Linked DNA regions of Diceros bicornis minor. The protein of the gene in region 1 interacts with the protein of each later gene in a biochemical or structural test. Links are inferred from orthologs where the notes say so. Each region holds a gene or a part of one and is shown in the gene's direction. Other genes may lie near its edges. The genes, in order: GNAZ and RGS20.

Evidence for each region.
Region 2: the proteins of GNAZ (region 1) and RGS20 form a complex in vitro, tested with the Homo sapiens proteins (2 studies listed by BioGRID, with this or other methods). The link is inferred for Diceros bicornis minor from reciprocal best matches to the Homo sapiens genes GNAZ and RGS20.

Annotation. Positions count from the first base shown.
Region 1 is NC_080774.1:29,399,098-29,406,302, reverse strand, and holds the start of GNAZ (guanine nucleotide-binding protein G(z) subunit alpha), read left to right. Parts: upstream 1-3,956; 5' UTR 3,957-4,113; intron 4,114-7,205. Other genes in the region: RSPH14 (radial spoke head 14 homolog), read right to left, coding at 3,362-3,386. UniProt on the Homo sapiens protein: Guanine nucleotide-binding proteins (G proteins) are involved as modulators or transducers in various transmembrane signaling systems.
Region 2 is NC_080772.1:7,745,791-7,753,169, forward strand, and holds the start of RGS20 (regulator of G-protein signaling 20), read left to right. Parts: upstream 1-4,281; coding exon 4,282-4,440; coding exon of another isoform or gene 4,441-4,446; intron 4,447-7,379. UniProt on the Homo sapiens protein: Inhibits signal transduction by increasing the GTPase activity of G protein alpha subunits thereby driving them into their inactive GDP-bound form.

The DNA of each region.
Region 1 (7,205 bases):
ACGGGCGCAATGCCAGGGCCCTCAGCTCCCCAGGTTCTGTTTGCAAGGCATTTGTCTTGGGCCTCTGCTCCTAGAAATGCTGAGCACCAGGACATGGGTTCATTTTGAGACAGAGGGAGAGAATTAAAAATAAAACGCGTGCCGGGTGTGCCTCTCTGCTCGTTCATTTTGCTTCTTTTCAGCTAAAAGGAGATTTGCAGGCCCGGCTATTTATAACTAACCCAGATCTGAATGGCTTGTTCAAGTGGGGGGCAATGGGGGCAGTGCGCACAGACCCCAAGGAAACAAACCAGAGAAACCCACAGCCCGGCCACAGCCTGAGAATCGGTCGGTAGGGGTTGGGTTGAGGGAGCGGGAGAGGTGGCGCACAGAGGAGAGTCAGCCAGGAGCGAACCCTTCCAGAGGTCCAGAGATGAGCGAGACACCACCACCCCCACCCTGGGGGAGTGAAGAGACAAGTGGGAGGGTCAGTGGGGACTGGTCATTCCAGCACAGGTTGACATGTGTAGATGAGGAATTCCAGGGTCCTTGGGGCTCCGGATGTGCAAGAAGGGAGGCCCAGGGGAGCTGGTCCGCATGGGGCAGAGGGGCAGAGGCATGAGGCACGGGGATGTTTGGGGAGGGCCCTCAATCCAGTGATCCAGCGTGGCTGGTGTGCCAGGATGAGTTGGATGATGAGCCAGGAAGCTCTGCTGGATTTGAGGGGTGACGATGCCCATGGCATGGAATGCCCTGTGGCTGAGGTTTGGTCATTTGCTGGGGGTGGGGTCAACACTACCCCAAGGGGCCACTCCTTGGCCAGCTGTCTCTGCTGGGTTGGTGAGGTGCCAGGTGAGTTCAATCAGCAGGGCCCCTTCCTCTTTCTACCACAGACCCCCAGCTCTTGTCTCCCGGCCCTGTTCTCCTGGCCAGTAAGGGCGGAGGACAGAGCACTGGCCCCAGCCCTGGGGACTACGTACCCACGCCGGGCGCCCTGGGCCCACTGCACCTTATTGTGACCCACCTGTTCAGCTTTAGCCTCGTGTGGTCCCCATGCCCTGAATTCCTGGCACACTGACCCCTCCCCCGTGCCTGCCTTTGCTCCAGGGGACACTTCTCTGTCCTCATCTTACTCGGCCTCCCAATAGTGCGTGACATGGCTGACTGTGTCTTCCTTCTAGAGACACTCTCTTCCCGTGGCTCTGGAACCCTCCACTCCCTGGTTTCCTGGTCACCTCTCCAACCGCTCCTCCATCTGCTTAGCAAGTGCCATCCCTTCCTCCAGTGTCTCCTCTCACGTGGGCCCCCTCCTTGGTCCCCACTCTTCCCCCTTTGCCAGGGCCAGCCCAGTGCCACCCAGCCGTCTCCTGACACACACGGTTGCCCGGTGATCCCACGGCCCTATGCTGAACTCGGCCTCATGGACCGCCTTCTCTGCTGGCTCCTTTTCTCTGGCTGACTAGTTGACGTTTTTGTTATTTGATTCTGCATACTAGGACACCGCACTGTGGGACCATGCCAACAGAAATATGAAACGACTTGCCGTCCTTCTCAAGTGTAAAAACCTAATCTTAAACTCTCCAGTGGTTCTTAGGCCAACGTCCCCAGTACTACACGAGGGCCAGCTGCCCGAGGTGACTGTTCGCAGCCCCACCTCAGCATCGCGTTTTGTCCTCCTCGCCTGCTCGCTGGCTCAAGCCATGCTGGTCTTCTCTGGGTTCTTCCAGGCCTCATGCTCCTTCACGTCCAGCGCCTTCCCCACCTTGGAATGCGCTTCTCTCCTGCCTCAAGTCATGGGCCACCTCCTTCCCGCTGTCCCAGTGCCCAGTTCTCCCCCTGCCACGTACCCCAGAGTCCTGGCCAGTCTCCTCCATCAGGGCTCACACAACTGTAATGGTGGAATATTGGCCTGCCGTCTGCCCTGCCCCTCAGACAGGAGGGTCTAGCAGGCAGGGTTGAGTCTGTCTAAATCCTAGCACTGTGCCCAGCACAGAGAAGGCCGTCAGTAAATGATTGTTGTGTGAAGGACTACAACCAATGGTTGACGCCAGGTGACCTGTCACTTTAAGGTGGCCACCAAGGTCTGGTAAGGGGGCAGCAGCCAGCCCCATTGGGCCCCTCCATGAGCTAGCCTCTGATCTCACACCTGGACTGCTGTAGGGGTCAGCCCATGTTTGCACCTATTTTGCCCCTGCAAACAGCTCAATTCTGACCCCTAGTCCTGCAGCAGGAACTGCCCTCGCCCGTCTCTGAACGTGTGTCAAGGTGCATTTCCACTCAGAATCACCCTCGAGGGACAGTCTATTATCATCCCCTTTTGACAGAAGAGGAAACTGAGGCTCAGCCAGGTGAAATAAGTCACCCAAGCGTATACAGGTGATGGCAGCAGAGCTGGGCCTGTGCTTCACCCCCAGCCACCTCTCGCCTCTGACCCACCGCAGGGCAGGGCCTGTGCTCCTCATCTTCCTGGTATCACAGCTGTTGCCTCTGTGTGGTCCTCCCGGCAGACATCCAGCCTAACCCAGCCTGGTGGCTTGGAGGGCATTTACACCGGGGAGCCCCTCAACTGTTGGCCACTTCCAGAGAGCACTGTACCAGGTCTAAGTCTAGGCTCACCTCAAGATGCCCATCCCCAGCATCCTTCCTGTCCCTGACAGTTTAGGCAGCACCTTCCCAGGTGGGGGGTATGTAGCACAGTGGCCTCCATTTCACAGCAGAGGAAACATTCCCAGAGAGGTTATGGGATGACGACATGTCACAGCGTCCAGCTGGCAGAGCCGGACCCCCGCTCCTGCCTTGTGACCACAGATCTGAGCTGGGGCCACCACTCCATCTACCTCTGCCAATGGACAGTTCCAGTGCTTCTGCCCACGAGTGGAGTGATCCTTGTAACAGGACCACGACGGTGTAAAGTGATAAGGAAGGTGTGGGCCAGGAACACCTGTATTTTGCTGGGATGCTCCAGGATGCACAACGCTTCAGGTTACAACCATGCAAAAGACAGCGAGTGGCATTAATGTCTGGCTCTCTGGACTGACTCCTTTAAGTATAGGAGTGAGCGGCTAGTGGCTCTGAGGCCCACAGGTGGGCTCCCCCTGAAACTGAAAGCAGAATTTGCCAGACTGCCCTCAGGTGCCTTTTGCTGAGCATCCGATGCCTTCTATGAGCTTCCCCAAGGCACCTATGGGATCCTGGCCTTAACCGAGCTGGCTCCCTCCCGCCTCTCTGGTCTGGGTGACAGCCCCCGGGCCCTTCTCCCTCCCCTCCTTCCAAGGCAAACATCCGTGGCCAGGATTGCCAGGGACTCTGAAGAGCCCCTACAGGCTGGGGCTTGAGCAACGAAGATGATTAACGTCCCCTCCCATCACCGCACAAACCTCACCGGTGTAAACCTTTAGAGGTTGCATAGCCCTTTCACACGTTCTAGTGGATTGTCGCGACAATTCAGGGAAGCAGGTGCCACCAGCCCCACTTTGCAAAACAGGCTCAGAGAGGTCAGTCGGTTGCCCAAGGTCGCGGAGTTCAGAAACAGCCGAGCTGGGTTCGAATTCGGACGGGGACAGGGGCAAGCAGGGGCCGGGGCATCCGCCGATCTCAGGCTCGGTCTCCCAGCCTGCAAAAGGCGGTCTCGCAGGGCCGGCACCCTGGCCGGGGCGCAGCCGGGTTCCGGGGACGCCGGCGCGGGCAGCGCGCGCGGGACTGCGGTGAGAGCGGAGCCGCGGCCCCGCCCCTGCCCGTCGCTATTGGACGCGGGCGCGTCCGTCAGCCACTCGTGCCCAATGGGCGGCGAGCCGGCGCTCGTGGCGGGGCGGTGGCGCCCGGCGCGTGGTCACCGGCAGGCGCGCGGCACCCCCGCCCGCGGTTGGCCTGGCAACGCGCTGCGCTCGCGGCTCCGCCCCCTGCCGGCGGCCGCGCGGCGCGGGGCGGGCGGACCCGCGGGCGGGCGGCGGGCGACGCGGGAGAGCGGGCGGAGGCAGGCCGGCCGGAGCGTGTGCGCCGCCCGCGGTCCGGTCACGTCCCCGCGCGGGCGCCGCCGCCCGCGTCGTGCGGAACGAGGGCTCCTGGGCCCGCGCCCGCCGCCTCGCCCCTCCCGCCTGGAGCAGCTCGGCCGGAGCACCGCGCCGCGGCCCGGAGGTGAGTGAGCGGACCTGCGGCCAGGGCGCGCGGCCGAGCCTCCGGGGACCCGGGGCGCGGGCGGGGCGCCCACCCCACCCCCACCGGGCCCCGCCCGGGCCTTTGTGCCAGGGATCCGCCCGGGCTCAGCGGCAGCGATGCCTGGCCGGGGTGGGGGCGGTGAGGGCAGGCACGCCCGCGAGGTGGGCAGGGGGCGGCCGCGGCCCGGCAGGTGCTGGCGGGGGGCGCCGCCGGGCGGAGGAGTCGGCGGGAGGGGGCGGCCGCAGGCCGGGAGGGTGGGCAGGGGCCAGAGGAGCTGCTGGTGCGGAGCCGGGCCGGGCCGGGCCGGGCGAGCTGCGGGAGGGCCCCGAGGCGGGGTCTCCCTCCCGGGGGAGCGGGAAGGAGGCGACCTGGACAGCGGGGGCGCCGACGCGGGGCTTTGGCTAAAACGGAGGCGAGGGCTCCGGAGGCTTGGGCCCGTAGACGGACGGCTCGCAGTTTTCGGTCATCGCTCTTGCAGCGAGCAGGTTCCTTGGAGGCATTTAGAACAAGAGATGAGTATCGACCCGCTGCGATTGTGATATGTTCCCGGCTCAATATTTTTTTTCCCTTAAAAGGCGGTGGGGGAGGTTGGGGGGAGGGGTGTGAGGGCCTCGGGGCCGGGGCTCCGTATCCTGCGGGAGATCCGAGGGGGCTCTGCCGTCAGGGCGGTGCTGAGCCTCTCTGGGCGATGACGGCAGGAATCCGCCTAGGCCCCGAATTGGGGTGCTCTGCTACCAGAGAGAAGAGGATGGAAGGCGGTGCCGACACAGGGCTCCCTGGAGTCCAGCGTCTTAGCATGGAGGGACCCGCCTGGTAGGCGAGCTCTGCCCGGCTTAGGGAGGCAGCCAAGTGATTTCCCTGCCCTGGGGACCGAGTCCCGCTGCCTTCCGCTCTGTCTGGAGGAGGCTCCTGGGCCAAATTCGATTAAGCAAATATTTACTGAGCGCTCGCTCCCCCAGGGCCTGGCGCTGGGGTGGGAGTGGACTGGGCCTGCCCTCTGGGGACTGAGTCACCACCCTCCAGGGGAGAAACCTCTGCTCAGATAACCAAACCCTGAGTGTGGGTGCAGGGGCCTCGGGAGGGACCTCAGAGAGGTGACCTGGGCTGGGGCCTGTGGGCAAAGTGGCATTTGAACTGGAGCTTGAAGGACACGGGCACAGTTGGGGTGGGCGTTGCGGGCAGAGGGGAGAAAATGGAGTGAGGCACAGAGAGGGCACTAGGGCAGTTGGGTCTGGCAGGAGCGTGGGGTCTACTTAAGAGCATAGGAGGCATGGCGGGAAAGGTGGGTGGGTGCGGCAGAGGATGAGGGAGCTGGGGAAACCAAACCACCCATTTTTTGTTAGCTGTGGCTGTTTCACTAGAGGCTGCAATCTCCTCATCTGTAAAAGGGAGCAGCTCTGTGACCTGGGGTGGGCCTGGGGAAGAGCTTCAGAGACCTGGGAGGGCTCCTTGCAGCCTAGGACTGCTCCTCCAGGTAGTCCCTGGGGACAGGGCCAGGGGTACTGGGTAACCAACCACCCAGCCTCCTTCCTAGCCAGGATGGAGGACGATGTTTAGCTGATGACTCTGTCCCTTGGTGGGGTGGACGTTTTCCAGCAGTAACCGTGGAGGCCTGGGAGTCTCCGTGTGGGGGCTGATGGTGCGAGGGCCTGGCTGCGTGTGGATGAAGTGCTGTGCCTCCAGCGTTCCTCGTGCTCCAGGGACGGTGAGACATTGGCGTTTGGTTTAACACTCGTCTTGTGTGTTCCTCGCACAGACGTTGATTTTCTGAGACAGGAGGTGAATAAGCCGGTGTCACCTTCTACTCTAGATGTGCTTGCTTGCTTGCTCCTGGGGATGTTTTTGAAGGGGCTGTTTGTTACTCATCTGTGTGGCATGCCCCCTCCCTGCCCCGTCCCCGAACACACACCCACTTTCGGCTTCTGGCTGAGGCCCAGGTTGCTGCAGCGAGAGCAGGGCCGCCCGCCTGCCCTCATGGGGGTGCAGTCCACGCCGAGCAGGATGGAGCTGCTTCACTCTTGTGCTTGTCGCCTGGCCCTGCTCCAGGGGCCTGCCGTGGGGCTCTAGATTTGGGACACAGGGGATGAATTCCTCCTTCTGACCCCAGCTTCTCAGCTCTTCTGTTTCCTGGAGTCCTAGGAGGAAAAGTGCATTGGTCTGGCCCTCAGGAGCTTCTAGGGCGATTCCAGGAACTTTTGGCTAACCAGGCAGACTTGGCAAGGCTGCCCAGGGCCCCTGCAGAGAGGCTGGTGGGATGGATGGCTTCAGACTCAGGGTGTGGCCTCCGTGGCCTCGACCTAGCCAAGTGGTTGTCTCACGTGCACACACGATGACAGTGTGTGCCACGCCTTCCTTCCAAGGACATGAGGACGAGGCAGCCCTGGACTATCCCCTGCTATCCGTCAGAAGACCTGAAGGCTTTGCGGCTCTAGGGCATTCTCGCTGCCGCTGACTGTGGCTGGGCTTGCAGGAACTCTGGAAGAGGCAGATTAGCACACTGCTCCCCTGCAGCCCCCAGGAAGGAAACCTGGGGTCACAGAGCCTCCAGGGCCGGGTTGCAAGCGCTGTTGGCAGGAAGGAGGGCAGAGGGAATGGACAGAGGCAGCAGGGCAGACACGGAGGATCAGCCCAGGCAGGAGCCCAGAGCGGTGGCTGACATAGCTCCTGCAGACTGGGGAGGGGTGTGGAGGGCCCAGACTCCCCACGGAGGAGAGGGGAGAGCTCCAGTCCAGGCATCAGAAGACTTGGGTCAGGCCCAGGCCCTGCCACTCCCTGGCCCAGCCCCGTCCTCTCTGGGCCTCCTCGTCCTCATCCGTAAACAGAGCCAAGACTGCCCTGCCTGGTCCGCTTGTGGGTCCTCACCACACATTTGGCCCCGTCCACATATCCATGCTGGTGGGGGAGGCACCTAGTGAGCTGACAGGACTAATTCACAGGGACTATCTGATGGATCCTGGAGGACGTGGCAGGAGACGTCAGCCCTCCGTACGGAGCTGGAGGAAACAGAACCTCACATGTTCGTTCATTCACTCATTCCTTTGGCCAGTATTTACCAGCACCTGCTGAGTGCT
Region 2 (7,379 bases), on another chromosome or scaffold:
GAGATGAACAGAAGAAACCTTCCACAAACCTGACATCATGACCTGTGAGTTTCACAGTGAGACAAGAACAACGTAACCCTGATGGTGACTGAGAGTGGCACTAGTGCCAAATTTTTGGTCAATCGCTCATGTGTGAGAGGATGGCCAAATGGGGAAATTGTTAAAGTCATTAAGGAGGCCATTAAACTGAGATGGCTCTAATGCCTTGGTCGCCTATGTAACCCAGGGTCAATTCCTGAAATGCACTTATATCCTAGAAAATGAAACTAAAACAATCACAAACAGCCAACTAACCTTTCCCAAATTAGGTAACTGCTTAAGCTATAGCCAATCAAATAATTTCCTTGCTTTGCTTCCACATCAGCTCTATAAAAGCTTTTTCCTGAGCTCCTGTTAATGGAGCACTTTCAGTTTGGTGCTGTCCAATTCAAATTGATGTTTGCTCAAATAAACTCTTGAAATTTTTAATGTGCCTCAGTTTATCTTTTAACACTATGATCTGAATGTTTGTGTTGCTCTCAAAATACATGTATTGAAGCCCTAAACCCAAGTGTGATGGTAGTTGGAAATTGGGCCTTTAGAAGGTAATTAGGGTTAGATGAGGTCATGAGGGTGGGCCCTCAGGATTAGTGCCCTTGTAAGAAGAGACACCAGAGAGGGAGCCCTCTCTCTCAACATGCACAAGCACTGAGGAAAAGCCATGCAAGAATACAGCAAGAAGGTGGCTGTCTGCAAGCCGGGAAGAGAGCTCTCACCAGAACCTGACCATGCTGGCACCCCGTCCTCAGACTGTTAGCCTCCAGGACTGTGAGAAAATAAATTTCTGTTGGTTAACCCACACAGTCTATGGTATTTTGTTACGGCAGCCCGAGCAGACTATTACACAATATAAATGAAGCCACTTAATCACACCACCAGAACAAAGTATGAATAAACATCATTGACAACAGAGAGAGACTAAAACTCCTGTGAACAGGTACAAAATGCGAGAGCAAGCATACTTAATCCCTCTCTTTCTCATTCAGTTGGAGACACATTTATTGAGTATCCGAAGTTTGACAGTCTCTCCAATTTTCTTTGAGGTTTCTTTGGAGTTGTTCAGAGTCAAGTTGAGGAGCACAGATATAGTCAGATAATTTCAGCAAGCGCAGTAGCAGGGATGCATCTAGAACTACTCTGTGCACCTGGAAGAGGAAGCTGATACTGCTGCTCACTGAGAGAAGGGGGAGGTCAGGGGGCTCCATTTAAGGACTGACACTTGCACTAGTCCTAAGCAAGGCAGGCACATTAGGAAACAGGCAAAGGGCATTCCAGGCAAAAGGGAGAAAGATTGATTCTTAGATTCTGAATGAGTCCCTTTCCTTCTTTCTACTCTTAACCCACTTGAAAATGTTGTCATTTTTAACATGAAATAGTTTACTTCATGAGAAGTAAAATGCAGAGCATGTTTCTCTGCATAACCAAGCAAAGCTGGTGATCAGGTCTGCTCTGCACATCATCTTGCCTGTACCTCCCCAGCCGCAGACCTGTCATTATGCGGCAGGTCTCATCAGGTTCCAGAAAGAACTCCTCTTTTCAGAGGGGTGTGGAACAAAATCAGGAACAAGGCAGTGAGCAGAACGGGCTGCTACACCGGTCAGCTGGGATGGCTTTCTTCAAGCATCATGGTGTTACCAGATATCTATCTGGAACTAGGGAGAAGAGAAGAGGCAGGTGGTCCCTGCTGCTGTTTCCCTTACCTGATCTCTTCAACACGTCTATCGGTGACCTCAGCTGGCATAATTACATGTTATAGCATATGCAAGGTATCCTCTGAGCTGTTTCGTAATTTCTTCATAATTGAGCTCCAGATTTACTACTTACAAATGACATAAGGGAAATAAGATAAAACTGTATTGACAGGAGAAAAATAATAGTAATAATTAATGTATTCATCAAATTAAGTCAATAGCCCATATCTTTAACAATTTTTTCACTAGAATAGGGTCATATTATATGTTTGGAGAAAATATACCACCTAGAAGTGATCAGAGGTGGAAAAATTATGAAATTTCAAAGGAATTTCTTAAGTTTGAAATATATGAAATGTTACAAACATCATCATTTCCAATATTTTCTTCCCAACTGTGAATTGAACTTACATTTGCCCATAGAAATAGAGGAGTTCTAGTCAAAGGAAATCCTATTCTAAAAAGATGATTTATCATGAAAAACATACTGCCTCCTAGTGAAGATTATGCTACCAGCCTACCTTCAGTTGTACAAGGACTTTAAGAAGCTTTTGCAGCTCATTGAATAAATTATTAGTTTAATGAAAGAACAGTTTTTCCATTCTCTTTCATACAATAGGCTTTTGCAAGAAACTGACCTACTTTGGCCTAACAGTAACTCTAAGTATTGACACCATGATGCTTTTACAAAGTACTCTAACCAACTATCCTAACAGCTTCTGACTGCACTGGTATTGCCAAAGCAGGTCTAACAGCAATCACACAAGATTTCACTCACGCACTGTACCAGTGCCCTAAGTTCTTATGGCAACCAAGCTTCAGGATTTTCCAGGTAAGTTCATTGTATTACACTGCACCATTGGTGCCATAAGGACAATCTCCCACAATCTGAAAATTTAAAAATATGGCCACTGTAGTAGACAGCTTCTAAAATGGCTCTTAATGATCCCCACCTGCCAATAATTCATGCCCTTACCAAATCCTCTCTCCTTGAATGTGGGCTAGACCTACTGACTTTCTTCTAAGGAACAGAATACGGCAAAAGGGATGTCACTTCCGAGATCAGGTTACAAAAGACTGTGACTTCTGTCTTGCTTGCATTCTCTCAGGTTCTCTCACTTGTTCACTGTGATGAAGCAGGCTGCCAAGTTGTGAGCTGCTCCAAGGAGAGGCCAACATGGCAGGAGCTGAGGGCTGCCTCCAGTCAACAACCAGCAAGGAATTGACATCCTTAGTCCAATAGCTTTTCAATCCTGGCAACAACTATGTAAGTGAGCCTTGAGTGAGTTCGACTTTTGTCGACTCAAGTGTCAACTTTTGTGGACTTTTGTGCCTGGCTTCTCTCACTTAGCATAGAGTTTTCAAGGTTCATCCATGTGGTAGCATATGTCAGAATTTCATTCCATTTTATTGCTGAATAGTATTCCATTGGATGGACATACCTCCCTTTGTCTATCTATTCACCGTTTGATGGGAATGTGGGTTTTTTCCAATTATTGGACATTTGTGTGCAAGTCTTTTTGTGCTCACGTGTTTCACTTCTCTTGCTTTGGTAGATATCTAAGAGGGAATTGCTGGATCATGTGGTAACTCTATGTTAAACATTCTAAGGAACTGCCAAACTGTTTTCCAAACTGGTTGCCACATTTTACATTCCCACCAGCTTTGTATGAGAGTCCCAATTTCTCCACATACTCACTAACACATGTTATTGACTGTCTTTTTGAGTAAAGCCAACCTACCAGGTGTGAAGTGGTATCCCATTGTGATTTTGACTTGCCTTTCCCTAATGGCTAACAATGTTGAGCATCTTTCCAGGGGTTTATTGGCCATTTGTATATCTCCTTTGGAGAAATACCTATTTAGACACCTCACTCATTTTTAGTTGGGTTTTTTTCATTTTCAGTTGTAAGAGCTCTTCATATATTCCGGGTACAAGTCATTTATTACGTGCATAAGATTTGTAATATTTTCTCATAAGAAAATCACTTTAATTCACTCTACGTGGCATAAATAGAAAGTGTAATAATTCTTGGGCTTAAGTTTGGGTACGAGTTTAGCATACGTTTATAGCTATGAAGCTGACTGTTATTAAAGTGACCTCTTAAGAAACCTAGACAGATTAGGGGGACCATCTGCCTCTTGATTGCATAGCCCAAGATTGTCAAGCACTATTCCCTATCACACAACTAGTAATACAGAATTTTGCAGAACAATCTATTTCCTTTATCATTATAGACTAGACAATACATCATTTCTTTCAGTTTTGATTTAGGATTAGAATTAGGAATACATTTCTACCTGTAGAGGGCAGTCATAATACACCCAGACAATCAGAATAGGAGGCTCTACCTGGAATAGAACACTAAGGATCTGCGGATAAGCTGCTGATCCAGAAAATAGATAATTCTTTTGCTTCCATTGGTGTAACTTTCCAGGGAGGCCCTCAGCAGACTGAGAGATGGCCCAGCATCAGCCAAAAGAAGAGAAATAGAGTGGACCCGGAGCCAGTGTTAAAATCAGGCCACAGGACTTATTCGGAGCCCTTATTATGCCCCAGCTTTCCCAAGAGAACCAAGAGTGCCTCCAGAAACATTTCTCCAGGCCATCTATGTGGAAGCAATTTCTGCCCCTGCCTCAGGCTGAGGGATATAATGCAAACATTCAGCAAGCCATGGAAAATGAAGGTGGGACCAAGGCTGGGCATGATGTCCAGGTAAGACAATCTCCACAATCCATGATCCTTTCTTGACAAGGAAAGGGCTTATGCAGAACGAATATAAACCATAAGCAAGCTTTAGTGCCATTGCTCACTTTATCTCAGTGACGATATCTCAAAAATGTTTTCAAACCAACGCCAAGAGAAAAACTAGAACCTTGATGATAATTACCTGATCTGTCTAGCTTTCTCCAACCTATAAAGCTTCTCTTTACCAATACAAATGACTATTGAATTATTTTTGTTTGTTTCAGGGGGTAGTGTTTTAAAAAGCAGACGACCTAGACATAGATTTTTGTGGCAATTGCTAGTAACCGTTGAATGTTTTTCTCTGATATAAAGATTATATCCCATATAATAATGAAAGAAAAATTATAGACTGCTTTTTATAAAAATTGGTAGAGAAAAAAATTGATAAATGAATACAGAAACATAAGAACATTGAGCTCAAGGGGTGTTTTTCCTAAATTCATGGTTTCCTAAGGTAGATTTCCTAAGCATGAATTTCCACCGCTAGATAATATTATTTTCCCAAAGAGTGACAATTTTCCTGCTCAGTGTTGTGTGTATCTTTGCAGAAAGTACAGTTTAAGTCTGTAAATCCTCTTAACTATTAATAGAACCATCTCTTAAAGGTTATTTGGTGTGGAGGGGGACAGGCATGTGTTAATGTCTAACAAATAATGAGCAGAGCTTAGAATTAAATGCTGCAAAATCATACTACAGCAAACCCATCCAACTGCTGAAACACTAGAAAATTCATCTGTCCCTGTGCCACAGCTCATATCCTGATAATAATCATCATTTATTTGGAGACTTTCTATTTAATTCTCTGGATCTGCCCCTTTCCTGATGTTATTTTAATCAATTGGCATAGGAGAAAAAAAGTTTTAAAAAAAGTCATTAGGAAGCTTTTTCTGTAGAAATGTATTCACCTTTGTTTCTAAGCTTTCAGAGATCTGTGAACAAATAATACATGAATTTCCACACTCCCTATTATCACCTAAGCACTAGGTCTTTAGGAAACTAGAATGAAATGGGATATCGTGGCCAGAAGTCCTTAATTAATGGGAATCTAAATCTAGGCGACACGTGCAAAAGAGATTTCTAGAAGGTAGAGTTTGGAGGCTCCTCTGAGGAAACAGACAGCAACAACAATATACATATGTTGTGTGTGTGTGTAAATATGTATAATATATGGACACACACGTATAATTTCAAAGTCAAACTGTCTTGAGGGTATGCTTTAAGCAGAACCATAGGCAAATGAATTGGAAAGGTATTTAAGAATCAGCAGTACCTTTCCATAGCGTCCTGGAATCAACTGCACTGCGGGCGCCAGGCGATCCAAGCTGCCATCCTGACCTCATTAACCCAAGTACACCAGCTCCAGCCTGTGCAGCAGCGGGCGTGGGCAGTCAGGAGAGATCCAGCTGGGATGCTACTGGCCTCTCCACTCAGTTTTGCCTTTTTAAAAAATCTTCCTATATTGCATCTGAATATAGATGCACATGTCCCTCTTATAGCAAGTATATGAATGGCAGAACTCAGTTCATTTTAATTCTACAAATGTCCTTGAGTCCTTGCTATCCCCAAAGCCTTGAGCTAGATTTTGAGAAAGAGAAAGATATGCTCCTCTCTCTCTACAGACTCACGATATATTGGGAAAGACAAACATATCAACATATTATCATCATATCATATTATCATATTATTGGCATGACTCATGTCAATGTAATTCAATCAGTAAGGCAGTAAGAAACTAGGGATGGAATATAATCAATATGAAGTAAAACAACTGAAAAAGGCCTAATGAAAATGTGAAAGAGGTGAAATTTAAGGTAGACATGAAATAGGAATGGAGGAATGTAGAGAAGTAGACAGGGAGAACATGGGCTAAAATGTGTCTAGACATCCAAGGCCCGTGTTACAACCCTCCAAGATCCTCACAACCTAAGCCTAACACCACATAAAATATTAAACCAAAATGGATCATGGCCTTAAATGTACAACAATATGTAGAACTATAAAACTGCTAGAAAAAAATGATAGAAAATCTTTGCGACGTAAGTCAAGGCAGAGTTCTCAAACATCAAAAGCATAATCCCTAAAGGAAAAATTGATAAATTGGGCCTCATCAAAAATAAAAACTTTTGCTCTGCCAAAGACCCTATTTAAGAGGATAAAAAGACAAGATACAGACTTTGAAAAAACACTTGCAAACCCCATATCTGACAAAGGCTTTGTATCTAGAATATATAAAGAACTCTCAAAAGTCAAGAGTAAAAAGCCAAACAATCCAAATAAAAATATGGGCAAAAGACATGAACAGACATTTCATCACAGAGCACATACAGCTGGCAAACAAACACATGAAAAGATAGTCAACATCGTTAGCCATTAGGGAAATGCAAATTAAAACCACGATGAAATATCACTACACACCTATCAGAATGGCTAAAGTGAAAAACAGTGACAAAACAAAATGGTGACAAGGATGTAGAGAAACTAGATCACTCATACATTGCTGGTAGGAATGCAAAATGGTACAGCCAGTCTGGAAACAATTTGGCAGTTTCTTATAAAACTAAACATGCAACTATCATATGGCCCAGCAATTTCACTATTGGGCATTTATCCCAGAGAAATGAAAACCTATGTTCACGCACACTGCATATGGTAATGTTCATAGCAGCTTTATTCATAACAGCCAAAAACTAGAACCAACCCAGGGCCGGCCCCGTGGCTTAGCGGTTAAGTGCGTGCGCTCCGATGCAGGCTGCCCGGGTTCGGATCCCGGGCGCGCACAGACGCACTGCTTCTCCGGCCATCCTGAGGCCGCGTCCCACATACAGCAACTAGAAGAATGTGCAACTGTGACATACAACTATCGCCTGGGGCTTTAGGGGAAAAATTAAAAATTAAAAAAA